Linked DNA regions of Arabidopsis thaliana. The protein of the gene in region 2 interacts with the protein of the main gene of each other region in a pairwise test. Each region holds a gene or a part of one and is shown on either strand. Other genes may lie near its edges.

Region 1 (5,653 bases), on a different chromosome or scaffold from region 2:
AATCTGTTGAAGAAAGTAGGACATCTCTCGTAAATCATCTTAGGGAAGCGCTACGGGAACAGGTAAAGGTCTTGCAATCTTGCAAGTTCAATAATTTGCTCAGACATTTCAATTACTTACTGAGTTTTGTGTATCAGGAATCTGAATTGGAGAATCTTCAATCTCAGATACAGGTAAAAATCTGAATTGGTTTAATAATCCCTTTACGCCTGGGAACTATTTTGCAATCTTGAGTACAAGAAAACTGTATTTCTGCATCAAAATTGATTGTGTGTCTGTCTTTGTTCTTATTCATCAGGTAGCACAAGAACAAACCGAAGAAGCCCAAAACATGCAGAAACGGCTCAATAACGAAACACCGGTTAACAATAACAACGGAACATCTGGTCAATCAGCGAAAATCACTCCTGCCTCAATCGCTGCAATGGCGGAAATGCTAACCTCATCAACAAACTCATCAATGATTATGCATTCTGTCCTCTCTTCATTTGCAGCCGAAGCTACACAAACTTCTGGTCTAACCAAATCAAACACCTCAGACACAAATGCATTTGTTGTTCCTCCAAATCCTCAGCAGTATCACATAATACCAAATCCAGCCGCATCACAACAGTTTCCTTATGGATTTGGTAACATTCCATTAATGCCACCTGGAGCACTGCCGCCACCGCCGCCTGGAACGTTGCCGCCGCATATGATGAATAATAACAACCAACCAAATGCAGCTCAGCAACAAGCGCAACAAGGTCAGAGTTTTCATCCACCGGGTATGATGTATTTTGGACCTCCACACCATTCTTAAGGTTAGTAAAAACAAACCAAAAAATCCAATTAGTTCTAGTATTAGATAGTTTCTGACCCACTTTATTTTATTTCATGTAACGCATATTGTAGAAAGTAGAAACGAGATCTTTTGTCTTACAAATCTTGTACCTTGAGCTGTTTAGTCAATTTTTCTTCTTTGTAACATAGTTAGACTTCTATTGTGTATCTGCGTTACATTTATATCTAGTATGCGTTTGTTTCAAATGGATCTTTTATATATTGTACAAAATATATATACATCAGTCATGCTTTTTTTCTCACATATTTCAAGTCAAGTTTACAAAAAATTTCAATCACAAAACATTTTGAATGTCTACTATACAACAACAAATGGAATGGAACTTTAGAAGCCAGAGGAGTTTTGAGTGACCACTCTGTTTCTACCACCAACTCGGAATCTAGACCTAATTGAGCCGTTGGAGTCGATAACTCGGTCCCAATCAATTGATCCTTCGCCATCTTCTTCATCATCCTCCGGCACTCTTTCTCTCATCAGCTGAAGAATCTTCTTTGCTTTCTCTCTAGCTCTCTCTGTTCCTCTCTCTTCCACTTCCTTCAACACTTCCACTGCTCTCGCCTCCTTCGCTAGTCCTTTGAATCGAAGACTCTCGTGGCTCAATGCGAACAACGCCGCTACGCAATTCTCACGAGCCGATGACGATGACCGGGCCTCTGTCGGCTCCTCCGTCCACTCCTCCCTTAACTTCCCTACAAGAATCGCAACCGCATTCGCATCAAGCATCGCCGATCTTCCTTCACTACAACACGCTAAATTACAGATCACCAACAATGCCCTGCTCGCCGATTCACCGGACCTAACCATCGAGAAAAGCGCTGGTACCGCTCCAAGCCTAACGAGCTTTGATCGATTCGTCTGATTCAACGTCAAATGGTAAAGCGCGAGAGCCGAATCATGCCGCGTCCGATCACTCTCAGCTGCACGTAACGCGTGAAGCAATGGCTGAAGCGCTCCTAAAACTCCAATAGGCATTTTATTATCATCTTCAAGAGAAAGACTAAAGATTGTTCCAGCTGCGTGTTCTTGAGCTTCTCTAGACCCCGACTTCAGAACATCGATCAAAATCGGAACAAATCCTAACCGAACAATCGTCAATTTGTTCTTCTTATCCAAAGACAGATTCACAAGCGACGCTAACGCGTTCGTCTGCACTAAACTGTATCTCGAAACAATCATATTCTTCAACAAAGAAAGAATCCGAGGAGAACAAAGCGAAACCCTAGCTTCATCATTAGTACGAGTCATCTTCCTCATCATAATCAAACCTTGCTCTTGATCAAAAATCTCACTGCTCTTAAGCTTGTTGTAAATCACTTCGTCCTCTTCTGTGGCGGTGGAAGTAGAATTAGAGAAGAAAGTGTGGTGCGTTAGGGTTTCGATTTCGGAGGAAGAAGATGATGGAGATGGAGAGAAGCAAGCGGGTCTAGTTGTTAAAGGAAGAGGAGTGAATGGACTGTGAGCAACGATTACAGATTCATCAGAAGAGGTCGTGGAGTTGTTGAAATCTCTCCTTCCCATGAGTTCAGAATCAGCGTGGTGAATTATCATCGGAGCTCGGTGAGCTACAGCTCTGAGAAGCTCTTGCTCGGAGACACGAATCTCGACGTCCGGTGGAGGCATCTGTTGCCGTAAAATTCTCTCGACGGTGGAGTAATCAGGTGGCTGAGGACGTGAGACGCCGACGGTGTCGCACCAAGTATCGATTGTTGATTTCATGTTTAGGTTAGGGATGATGTTGGAGAAATCGGGTAGAGATTCTTCGTCGTCGTTGAGTTTGGGGATAAAGTTGAGGTCGCGACAGACTTGAACACAGACACGTTCGAAGGTTTGACCGGAAGAGACAACAACAGGGTCAGACATTACTGATTTTGAAATCGGACAGAGAAATTCGACCGGAGGTTGTTGTTCTTGTTGCTGTTGTCGTGAAGATGAAGAGGTTGAAGAAGACGATCTGTGGCTGAAAGGATTCCATCTGAGCCGTCCGTTTTTACCCATCTGCGACAAATCAACGGTCAGGAATTGGTGGTGAGTTTGATTTCTGAAAAGGGTTTTGGGTTTTATGGAGAGGAATTAGGGATTTGAATTCATCTTTCGTGATTTTCTGAGAAGAAGAAGAAAGATGAGAAGAGAGGAGAGTCGTCTTCTTCCTCCTGAACTGAAGGACTTTGTGGCCTACTGACTTTTTTTTTTTGGCTTTTGTTTATTTTCGAAGTGACTATTAATTTTTTTTTTAAAAACTTGAACATATTAGTAGTAATCGAAAATGTTGACTGTGAAATTAATATAGGTGGACCCAGATGTGAATTGGCTTTCATAGTTCATGCATTCTGAAAAGTTTTATTGCTTTCTTTTTCAGGTCAATTTTGTTCATATACTTTTCTTAAAAACATATCTTTTAACTTACGTACTTATAAACTTGGAATGTAATTTATCATTTTGGAATGTAATCTAATTTGTTTTAAAAGGATGACAATACAGTGATACACTGAAATATGTGGCATCAATAAGTTTAATTTTTGCTGAATAATAAAATGATTAGATTTTTCACTAAACATGATGGACATCCATGCCATTCTTAGCTTTAGGGGAAAAAAACTTTTCTCAGTTTTAGCTGTAAGCTTTACATTGAACCTCTGACCACTTTTTATCTTGTCCTCTGATGATGCATTGTTGGGTTGCAAGTTGCATCACAGATGATATGACATTTCCCCTACAAATCTTTGTACCAAAAACCAAAGTATAAGGGTAGTCTAGTAGACAATCTGGCTTTACGGTTTTATCTTGTTTCGAATTAAGTTTTACCTGTTTTATACAAACCAAAATCGAATAAAAACTCATTTTTAGTTCGATTTGGTTTTGGTTCGGCCTTTTGGATCTTTTACTATAAATGTAACATGGTTAGGCACTGTTTTTTTTGTTTATAACCAAGTTTCTGCTTAGCCACTGTTTTGTTTTTGTTTTTGCACACCCTACCAAAGTAGTACCTTGATTAATCCTTTTACTAAAGATGTAACATGGTTAGGCAACACATTTACTTTGTTGGATACATTTAAAACAGTTTCTAACCAAGAACACAACTATTCAGGTTTTACTCCCTTTTTCATAAAACTCTTAGTCAACAGAAAATCTTTCATGAAAATCGGTATATGGTGCATGATCGCCATGACTGTAGATAACCTACCTGTAGAGTACCAAGCCGGTGGGTTTTTCTTCAGCACCACGGAAACAGTCTCTTTCGCAAAAGTCTCTGTGGGTATCGGCTTTATGTTTTGCGACAGAAACGCTCTCTCACGGATAGCGTCCTCGAACGGTTTGTATAGTTTCAATTCAGGTAAATTGTTGAAACTCGATATCCCTGAGTTAGCTATGTTTGATTGAATACCTCCTGGTACAATGTTGATTACATCAATCCCAAATGGCTTAAGCTCCAACCTAGACAAACACAAAACAAGATAGTGTTTACTGTTTAGATGATATTAATCAAGCTGATGAAAAGAGACTGCTGAAATCGAAAAACCTTAAAGTGTCGGTAAGAGCATGAAGAGCAGCTTTTGATGCAGTATAAACCCCAGCCCATGGTCCTGGTGCCATTATGCTAATACTTCCTATGTTCACAATCTTTCCCTTTTTCTTAGACGCCATGTGAGGTACAACAGCTTGAGTCATCCTCATGGAACCTGCAAAGTTTCTTTACAAAGTTCAGTTCTTGAAGAGACTTCTCACAACCCAAATCAACAGAGCAAAATAAAACATGAAAGAGTTGAGTCAAGAATTTTAACAAACACATGGTGTGCATATAAGAAGTAACTCGAAAATTTTCATTCACCGAGCACATTGGTGTTGAAGGTGTAATCCATGGCTGAAATTGGAATCTCCGCCAAAGGTCCGATACACTGAACTCCGGCGTTATTAACCAAAACATCAATCTGACCAAATTTGTCGATAACTTTCGACACAACTTTACTCACGCTCTGCTCAGACTGAACATCGAGCTCTTGCACAAAGAACTTGGAATCTTTCTCCAATTCAGTCATCGTCTTCTGCGATCGACTCGTCGCCACCACACGACAACCATTAGCCGAGAACTCACGCGCCAACGCGTGACCGATTCCTCCCTGAGAACATCCTGTGATGAGAACCACTGGCGTCTCGTCGCTGCTGCTTCCCATTTTATATAATTTTGAATGAAAAGATTTAAAAGAGAAATCCAGAATATAAGGGTCGAATTGCAAAAATTACGCCGAAGTTTCTCAACACAGTATTAAGATGATGAAGTTTTAAAATTTTAGAATTCTTCCCCAGAAGTTTGTCCACGTATGCAACAAAGTCCCTGAGATTTGTTTTTTTTTTTTATCTTTTTTTACTCAACAGTGATTCGCCGGAGAAGACCAAGTCATTGATTCAACGGTTGATAAAATAAACAGATTAATTTACATATATTTACATAAAACTTCCCAAAAAGCAAAAAAAAAAAACAGAAATTAAGAAACGAAATTAGCTATGAACAAAATGGAATCAAGCAGAGAAGAAGCCATGAGAGATGGCTAAAGCAAACTCAGATTTAGCTTCAAAATTCTTCTTCAAACTCTCAATCTTCATCTTGTCAAAAGCTATAGTCATCTTCGCCGGAATTATCTTCCACCAATCAAATTCCACCGGCGATGATCTCGAACCCACCGTCGTATGCTTCATCCTCCTCTCGTACTCCTCCGCCACCAAAATCGCTATGTCCGCCATTTAATCGGTTATCTCCGGTTTATCTACCTCTGATGTTCGGTTATCTTTGGTTCTATGTTAGATGTTATTCAA
Region 2 (7,703 bases):
CCAAGAAAGGATAGGCGAAAAGTATAATACCGAAGGGACATTTACAGTGAGTGTTAGGTCTGTAGATGGGTTTCAAGGTGGTGAAGAAGATATCATTATAATCTCAACAGTCAGGTCTAACGGTAATGGAGCTATTGGTTTTTTATCTAACCAACAAAGAACTAATGTAGCACTCACTCGTGCGAGGTATGTAAACATTTTCTCTGTTTCTTGATTTAGCTATGCTCAGTTTCTTGATTTAGCTCTTTTTGTTTGTAGGTATTGCTTATGGATTCTTGGAAACGAAGCGACTTTAACGAACAATAGATCAGTGTGGAGACAGTTGGTAGATGATGCGAAAGCACGAAACTGTTTCCATAATGCAGAAGAAGATGAATCATTAGCTCAGTGTATTGAAAGATCAACAACAGCACTTGATGATCTTAATAAGCTTCAAAACAAGAAGCTTATTTCTTTTGAGAATTCGATATGGAAGGTTTGGCTCAGCTACGAGTTCTTGAAATCTCTGGAAACGATCGTAGACTCGGAAATTAATAAAAGAGTTATGAGCTTTTTGGAGAAGTTATCTAATGGGAAAGAGCTTCATCAAGAGGTTGAGTTTGAAAGTGAGAATTTGTTGAGACAACATGAGTTTGATGATGGCTTAAGTCTTATTTGGGCGATAGATATTTTCAAGAATAATAATCAACATGTACAAGTTTTGAAGATCTGGCAGGTTTTGCCATCTACTGATGTTTCTCGTGTTACAGAACATCTAGAGAAACATTACAGGCGATACACGAAAGGCAAGATAAGTCGGTGTCGATACATATGCTCTCAAGGGTGAGTTAGTTAAATTTTTGTGGTGTTAATTTAATCTGAAACATGAGAAATTTATGTTTTTATGTTTTCACAATGATGCAGTGATTTAGTTGTACCAATGCAATGGCCGGTTGATTCCAATTCTTGTTCAAAGAAAGATATTGTAAGCGATGTTTCGAGATCATTTGCGTTGCTCAGTGTTGTGGAAGAGGAAACTGTGAGTCCTAAACCTATCAAGTAAGGCTTATTTGATGAGTCTTTGAGATTTCAAAGCAGTTTCAGTAATATTCTCTGTTTATTTGTTTTGCAGGAAACAAGTGAAGCTAAAGAAACTGTGGAAGATTAGAAGAAAGGTTCAACTTTCAACATCTAACCCCAAAGATCCTAAGTGAAATTTGACTGTTTCTTTGTCAAAAGCAGACAATTTGGTATTCCTTTTGGTCTTTTAAAACATTGTGTGTCTGCTTCTTTTGCGTCCTTTTGTGACTTTTCTCTTATTATCTTTTGCTATTTGTCAGACATACTTAAATTGGTCATTGATCAGTGATCACTGAACATGTGTATCATCTTAGATCACAATTTTTCTTCACTATAAATATAATGCTATCGCAGTAGTGGGATTTTGTAAGGATTCTCAAGCTTGGTATCATGCTTCCTCCTCATCCGGATCTCCGGAAATTGTAGCTATCCTTGTGGGTTTATACCCTCTTTGGTTTTTTCTTTTTATCTTAATTATATTTACAACGAAGTTGAATACAACTTTTGTATACGTTCCATGGAGGCAAAGGAAACTTGTTACACAAGGTATCACTGACTGATGCAAAGTATCAGCCCCTAGTGTGGAGACCTTACTGCCCTGTGTCTATATTTTTATATAAAAAGAGTGGGTCGATAACTTACAATCTTACATATTACCGAGCGTCAATGACCGAGAGAGTGACTTGGTTCACTGTACATTCATCGTCTCGCTGTGTACTTGACGAAGAATCAACCTCAAGAGAACTTCTCCCCACGCAAAAACCAGGACGTTTAGGCTGAGGAATAGCCGTAGTTTCGCTTCCAAGCATCACCATTACCGAGGACATCACTGGTCTGTCTTCGGCTCGTTCTTGAACACACAAGAGACCAATTTGTATACATCTTAAGATTTCATGTGTCGGGAATTCTGATGACAAAGCATCGATGTTGATCGGATCTACAATCTCTAGCTCTTTTCCTTCCTTCCAATGCCTCCACACCTGTGCATAAAGGATGTAATATTTCTTTAGCGTTATAATCAGATTATGAATGCAAAACAATATCGAATTGAAGAGGTATTTAGCTTACAAAACCAAGGAGATTAAGATCACGGTTTGAGTTGTAGAATCCTTTGTTTCTTTTTCCACTTATAATCTCTAGAAGCAAGACCCCAAAGCTGAAAACATCCGACTTCATCGAGAATATCCCGTCCATTGCATATTCTGGAGACATGTAGCCGCTGCATAACAAAATATAAACTCATATGTTATGAGGTTTTTAAGAAAATATTTGGACTTGAGATAAAAGCTCTTTTTTTGTTTTGTTGAAGAATGATTGCTTACTAAGTTCCGACCACCCTCCTTGTATTAGCCTCTGTCTCCTCCCGTCCAAAGATCCTCGCCATCCCAAAATCGGAGATCTTTGGAGTCATATTTTTATCAAGCAATACGTTACTTGCTTTCAAGTCTCTATGGATAATCCTACACCGTGAATCTTGGTGAAGATATAGAAGTCCTCTAGCAATACCATTGATAATATCAAATCTCTTTTGCCAATTTAAGTTAGAGCTTCGTGTTTGGTCTACACATCCAACACAACCAACAACAAGTTAACGTTTTCACAAAGATGTTCAATTATTAGAACAGAAGCTGTTTGAGTCACTAACCAAAGAGATGCGAGTCAAGGCTTAGATTCTCCAAGTACTCATAGATCAACATCTTCTCACCCTTATCGACGCAACAACCTAGAAGCCGGACAAGGTTTATGTGCTGAAGCTTTGCAATTAATCTAACCTCGTTCATGAACTCATCGGTCCCTTGTGAAGACATTTTCGATAGTCTCTTTACCGCGATTTCTTTTCCATCAAGTAACATTCCCTATTACCACACATTTGATTATTCAATGAAACCATTGCCAGTGATAGATTTTCAACAAGTTATGAGTCATGTTTACCTTGTAAACAATACCAAAACCACCTTGTCCAAGCTTATTGTCCGTCGAAAAATTGTTTGTTGCCATGGCTAAAGCTTTCCACTCCATCAATGGGAGCTCTAGATAATCGGTTTTGTTTTCTTTGGATGTGTAACTCCTGCTTGCTTTTACCAATTCGTTCATTAGAGAATCTTGGCTTCTCACAAGATCAACTGTTTCATTTAGACACACAGAAAAAAACAATTAAGACATTTAATTATCAAAAATTGAAGTAAAAATAAAGGAAATGAAAGCTGTTGATTTACCAATAGGTGTTTGAATTGTTATTGATCGCTTCTGCTTCCTTTTCCAAAAATGGAAGATGATGAAACTTAAAAGAAGCAAAATGCTCACTCCAATACTCGAACCTATGATTTTTTTACTTTTGATTCTCTTGTCCTCTGCAATAAAGACGAGGCATATATTTTCTTCAATCATAATAATAACTCCAAAGTATACTTTGTTGTACTTACGTATTTTTGATAAAATATTATTCAATAACATAAACAAAATAATTAATATATTTTTTGGTATTGGAACTAGCTTAAGCCATATTAATCTTTTGATATATAAGTTATTCTAGTATTTTGTATATCTTCAAGTAATAAACTAAAAAAATTGACCAAACATCAACAAGATACTTTGTGGACCATATACTCTTTATATGGTCGGACCTAGTGGATCAAGCCGTTATGTTACGGACCTTGGCTTAGAACCTATTAGTCAACTAAACAATAAAATAAAAACCAAAAGAGCAAAGAAAAACTAACCTAGATCACCAGCAGCTACTCTAACGTAAAGATCCTGACCTCCCTTAGCATAATTTCGGATATCGAACAGCCCTCCGGACCAAATCACACAACCTGAACCGCCATTACGAATATCCGTATTAGCAAACGCCGTACAATTACAACCCTTTAGGCACCTCTCTTCACATTCTTTCAACCCAATTCCTTTGTCCACACTTGTCTCTGTAGTATCTGGCAGTCTCATCTTCTTCAACCGCACAAACCCATCTCTACCGTCACAGCTTAGCTTCGTCTTCCTCACGCAACCAACAGAATCATCTCTCAAAGCCGCTTGCTCATTCATTGGCTCAAACCCTTTGATACAATTACAAATAGGTGAAGTGTTCGCATCGCAATAACCGTAATTCCCACACTCTTTGTAGTTATCACATAGGTCCTTTGGTGAGTACCATAACTGTTTCCAACTCTGTGCTGCCTCCATCCAAGTTAATCGTTGTAATAGTCCCGTGGAGCTTAGGCTTAATATCGAGTAAATGTTGGTTTTGTTGACTCGGTATGAGTAAACAACTTGTTGATTATTCTCTGTGAAACTGTTGTCTATGTAATCAACTGGTTTCATCCCCGGTACGCTGCTAAACCGATTTCCGAGCCATGGACCGCTCCTGTACGTTATGGACTCTTTGTTGTATATGTAAAACTCCGGGAACCCGCTGGTTCGGAGTTTAGTCGAGAAATCTCCGCTTGACGGATCATCTGTGGTTTTCCAAGATCTCAAGATTCTGTTGAATCCTCCGCTTTTGTTATCCCATCCCATTTTCATATCCGATAGTAAAGTATCTGTCGGGAAATCGAAACTCTGCCACAAAAATCCACTTGGTTTATTATTTTTGGAGTCTCTAAGAACAAAATTACCGTAATCAAGAAGCTCTGCAGCCACTGGTGATCTCACATCTCCTCCGGTTATATTCGTCGACCAAACAGGCCTATCGGACTGATCGAAAATGACGAGGTTATTGTCGGATATTTTGAGAGTTCCGTTGGAACTAGAGAGAGGATTGTCTCTGTTTGCAACCCATACGTAGGTTCTTATAGGGATTATCTTGTACCATATGCCGAGATACCAACGTGAACTTGAGTCGGGATTGAAGAAACCGAGCTCGAAGATTTGACTAGGAGATATAATGGTTTTGTTGCTTGAGATAGTGAGAGATTCTGTGGCTGAAAAGTTGCTTGCATAAACAGAGAAAGCAAGAAACAGAATTATGATGAATAATATGAAGTAAGAATGATGATAGTTTGGTACATTTCTCATCTCTCTCTCTCTCTCTAGCTAGGACACTTTCTTGTGTTCTGTTTTATTTTCTTCTTATGAAAATTTTATGTACATATAATTGAGAATTTTTATCTTCGGAGATTACGACATGTTTGGTGTTGAAATGTGTGAACGTCATTTACACGATTTCTCTCTATTGTTGATAATATTTCATTTTCAGCTACATTTTCTTGGTCTTCTTGTTCGCTTTTGAAATATCTATAGACTATGTCACTATAGAATTGAGTCAATGACCTTAAAAGTCGTTAAATTGATAATTATGGTTTTGTAATTTCCTAGTAACTGACTTTTCTTCGTTTACTCCAAAAAAATAATATCCTCAACCATTTGTGTGTGTGTGTACGAGAATAGACAAAATTTCAATGTTGCTGGCGACATACTAAATGTTATATGCAAGAGAATGCTTCACCGATGAATTCATAAAAGTTTAAGGTATATATTCGATTTGTTTCATAAAGTCCTCTGTTGTAATAGCCATAAAGTCCTATGTTCGCTTCCAGTATTGGTCTATTATCAGTAGTATGTACAAAAAGTGAATATTAATCATTACTGAATTCCCACTTAATTGAGTTTCGGTCTCAAACTTCAAATCTTGGAGTGACAACTCCAAATCTTGCATTTTTTTGTCTTTGTCTAAATGTTTTTTTTTTATAATTCTCGCTCTAAATCAAAATCATGTGAAACATGTGGTGAATCTTTTGTCTAAATTAAATTAGATAGAGCAAGATATCGAATCATATATGTAGTAATAAAATCTATTTAGACTTACCTATAAAATGATATGCATGTAAACAGATTGGGCCGTAAGTTACAAATTACCGAGCGTCAATGACCGAGAGAGTGATTTGGTTCACTGTACATTCATCGTCGCGCTGTGTACTTGAAGAAGAATCAGCCTCAAGAGGACTTCTACCAATGCAAAATCCAGGACGTTTAGGCTGAGGAATAGCGGTAGTTTCGCTTCCAAGCATCACCATTACCGAGGACATCACTGGTCTGTCTTCGGCTCGTTCTTGAACACACAAGAGACCAATTTGTATACATCTTAAGATTTCATGTGTCGGGAACTTTGATGACAAAGAATCGATGTTGATCGGATCTACAATCTCTAGCTCGTTTCCTTCCTTCCAATGCCTCCACACCTGTGCATAAAGGATGTAATATTTCTTTAGTGTTATAATCAGATTATGAATGCAAAACAATATCGAATTGAAGAGGTTTTTAGCTTACAAAACCGAGGAGATTAAGATCACGGTTTGAGTTGTAGAATCCTTTGTTTCTTTTTCCACTTATAATCTCTAGAAGCAAGACCCCAAAGCTGAAAACATCCGACTTCATCGAGAATATCCCGTCCATTGCATATTCTGGAGACATGTAGCCGCTGCATAACAAAATATAAACTCATATGTTATGAGGTTTTTAAGAAAATATTTGGACTTGAGATAAAAGCTCTTTTTTTGTTTTGTTGAAGAATGATTGCTTACTAAGTTCCGACCACCCTCCTTGTATTAGCCTCTGTCTCCTCCCGTCCAAAGATCCTCGCCATACCGAAATCCGAGATCTTTGGAGTCATATTTTTATCAAGCAATACGTTACTTGCTTTCAAGTCTCTATGGATAATCCTACACCGTGAATCTTGGTGAAGATATAGAAGTCCTCTAGCAATACCATTGATAATATCAAATCTCTTTTGCCAATTTAAGTTAGAGCTTCGTGTTTGGTCTACACATCCAACACAACCAACAACAAGTTAACGTTTTCACAAAAATGTTCAATTATTAGAACAGAAGCTGTTTGAGTCACTAACCAAAGAGATGCGAGTCAAGGCTTAAATTCTCCAAGTACTCATAGATCAACATCTTCTCACCCTTATCGACGCAACAACCTAGAAGCCGGACAAGGTTTATGTGCTGAAGCTTTGCAATTAATCTAACCTCGTTCATGAACTCATCGGTCCCTTGTGAGGACATTTTCGATAGTCTCTTTACCGCAATTTCTTTTCCGTCAAGTAATCTTCCCTATTACCACACATGTGATTATACAATGAAACCATGTGCTGTGGTAGATTTTCAATATGTTTTGAATCACTTTTACCTTGTAAACAATTCCGAATCCACCTTGTCCAAGCTTGTTGTCGTTAGAAAAATTGTTTGTTGCCGTGGCAAGAGCTTCCAACTCCAACAATGGAAGCTCTAGGTACTCACTTTTTTTTTCTTTGGATGTGTAACCCCTCCTAGATACTACCACATCGTTGATTAGCGAGTCTTGGCTTCTCACTTGATCAACTGTTTCATTCAGGCGTTAAAAAAAAAAAAAACAATCAAGACATTTGATTATCAAAATTTATTGACAAAAATAAAGGAAATGAAAGCTAATGATTTATTTTACCATTAGGTGTTTGAATTGTTATTGATCGCTTCTGCTTCCTTTTCCAAAAATGGAAGATGACAAAACTTAAAAGAAGCAAAATGCTCACTCCAATACTCGAACCTATAATTTTTTCATTTTTGATTCTCTTGTCCTCTGCAATAAAAACGAGGCATATATTTACTTCTATACGAAAAATATCCTTTGTTGTACGTTTGATTAAAAAAAATTAATACGAAAAATAA

What was found. The genes of interacting proteins can lie anywhere in the genome.
Region 1: the proteins of RK2 (region 2) and PUB38 interact in a two-hybrid assay, tested with the Arabidopsis thaliana proteins (one study listed by BioGRID).

Annotation. Positions count from the first base shown.
Region 1 is NC_003076.8:26,047,005-26,052,657, forward strand, and holds PUB38 (plant U-box 38), read right to left. Parts: upstream 3,043-5,653; 5' UTR 2,840-3,042; coding exon 1,169-2,839; 3' UTR 1,061-1,168; downstream 1-1,060. Other genes in the region: AT5G65180 (ENTH/VHS family protein), read left to right, coding at 1-62, 138-173, 299-802; AT5G65205 (NAD(P)-binding Rossmann-fold superfamily protein), read right to left, coding at 3,922-4,276, 4,362-4,521, 4,671-5,013; AT5G65207 (uncharacterized protein), read right to left, coding at 5,360-5,581. UniProt on the Arabidopsis thaliana protein: Functions as an E3 ubiquitin ligase.
Region 2 is NC_003070.9:24,470,533-24,478,235, reverse strand, and holds RK2 (receptor kinase 2), read right to left. Parts: upstream 5,364-7,703; 5' UTR 5,071-5,363; coding exon 3,780-5,070; intron 3,411-3,779; coding exon 3,276-3,410; intron 3,183-3,275; coding exon 2,992-3,182; intron 2,916-2,991; coding exon 2,705-2,915; coding exon of another isoform or gene 2,700-2,704; exon of another isoform or gene 2,620-2,699; coding exon 2,382-2,619; intron 2,279-2,381; coding exon 2,128-2,278; intron 2,040-2,127; coding exon 1,713-2,039; 3' UTR 1,349-1,712; downstream 1-1,348. Other genes in the region: AT1G65810 (P-loop containing nucleoside triphosphate hydrolases superfamily protein), read left to right, coding at 1-186, 259-822, 904-1,038, 1,112-1,193; RK1 (receptor kinase 1), read right to left, coding at 5,907-6,233, 6,322-6,472, 6,576-6,813, 6,899-7,109, 7,186-7,376, 7,480-7,614.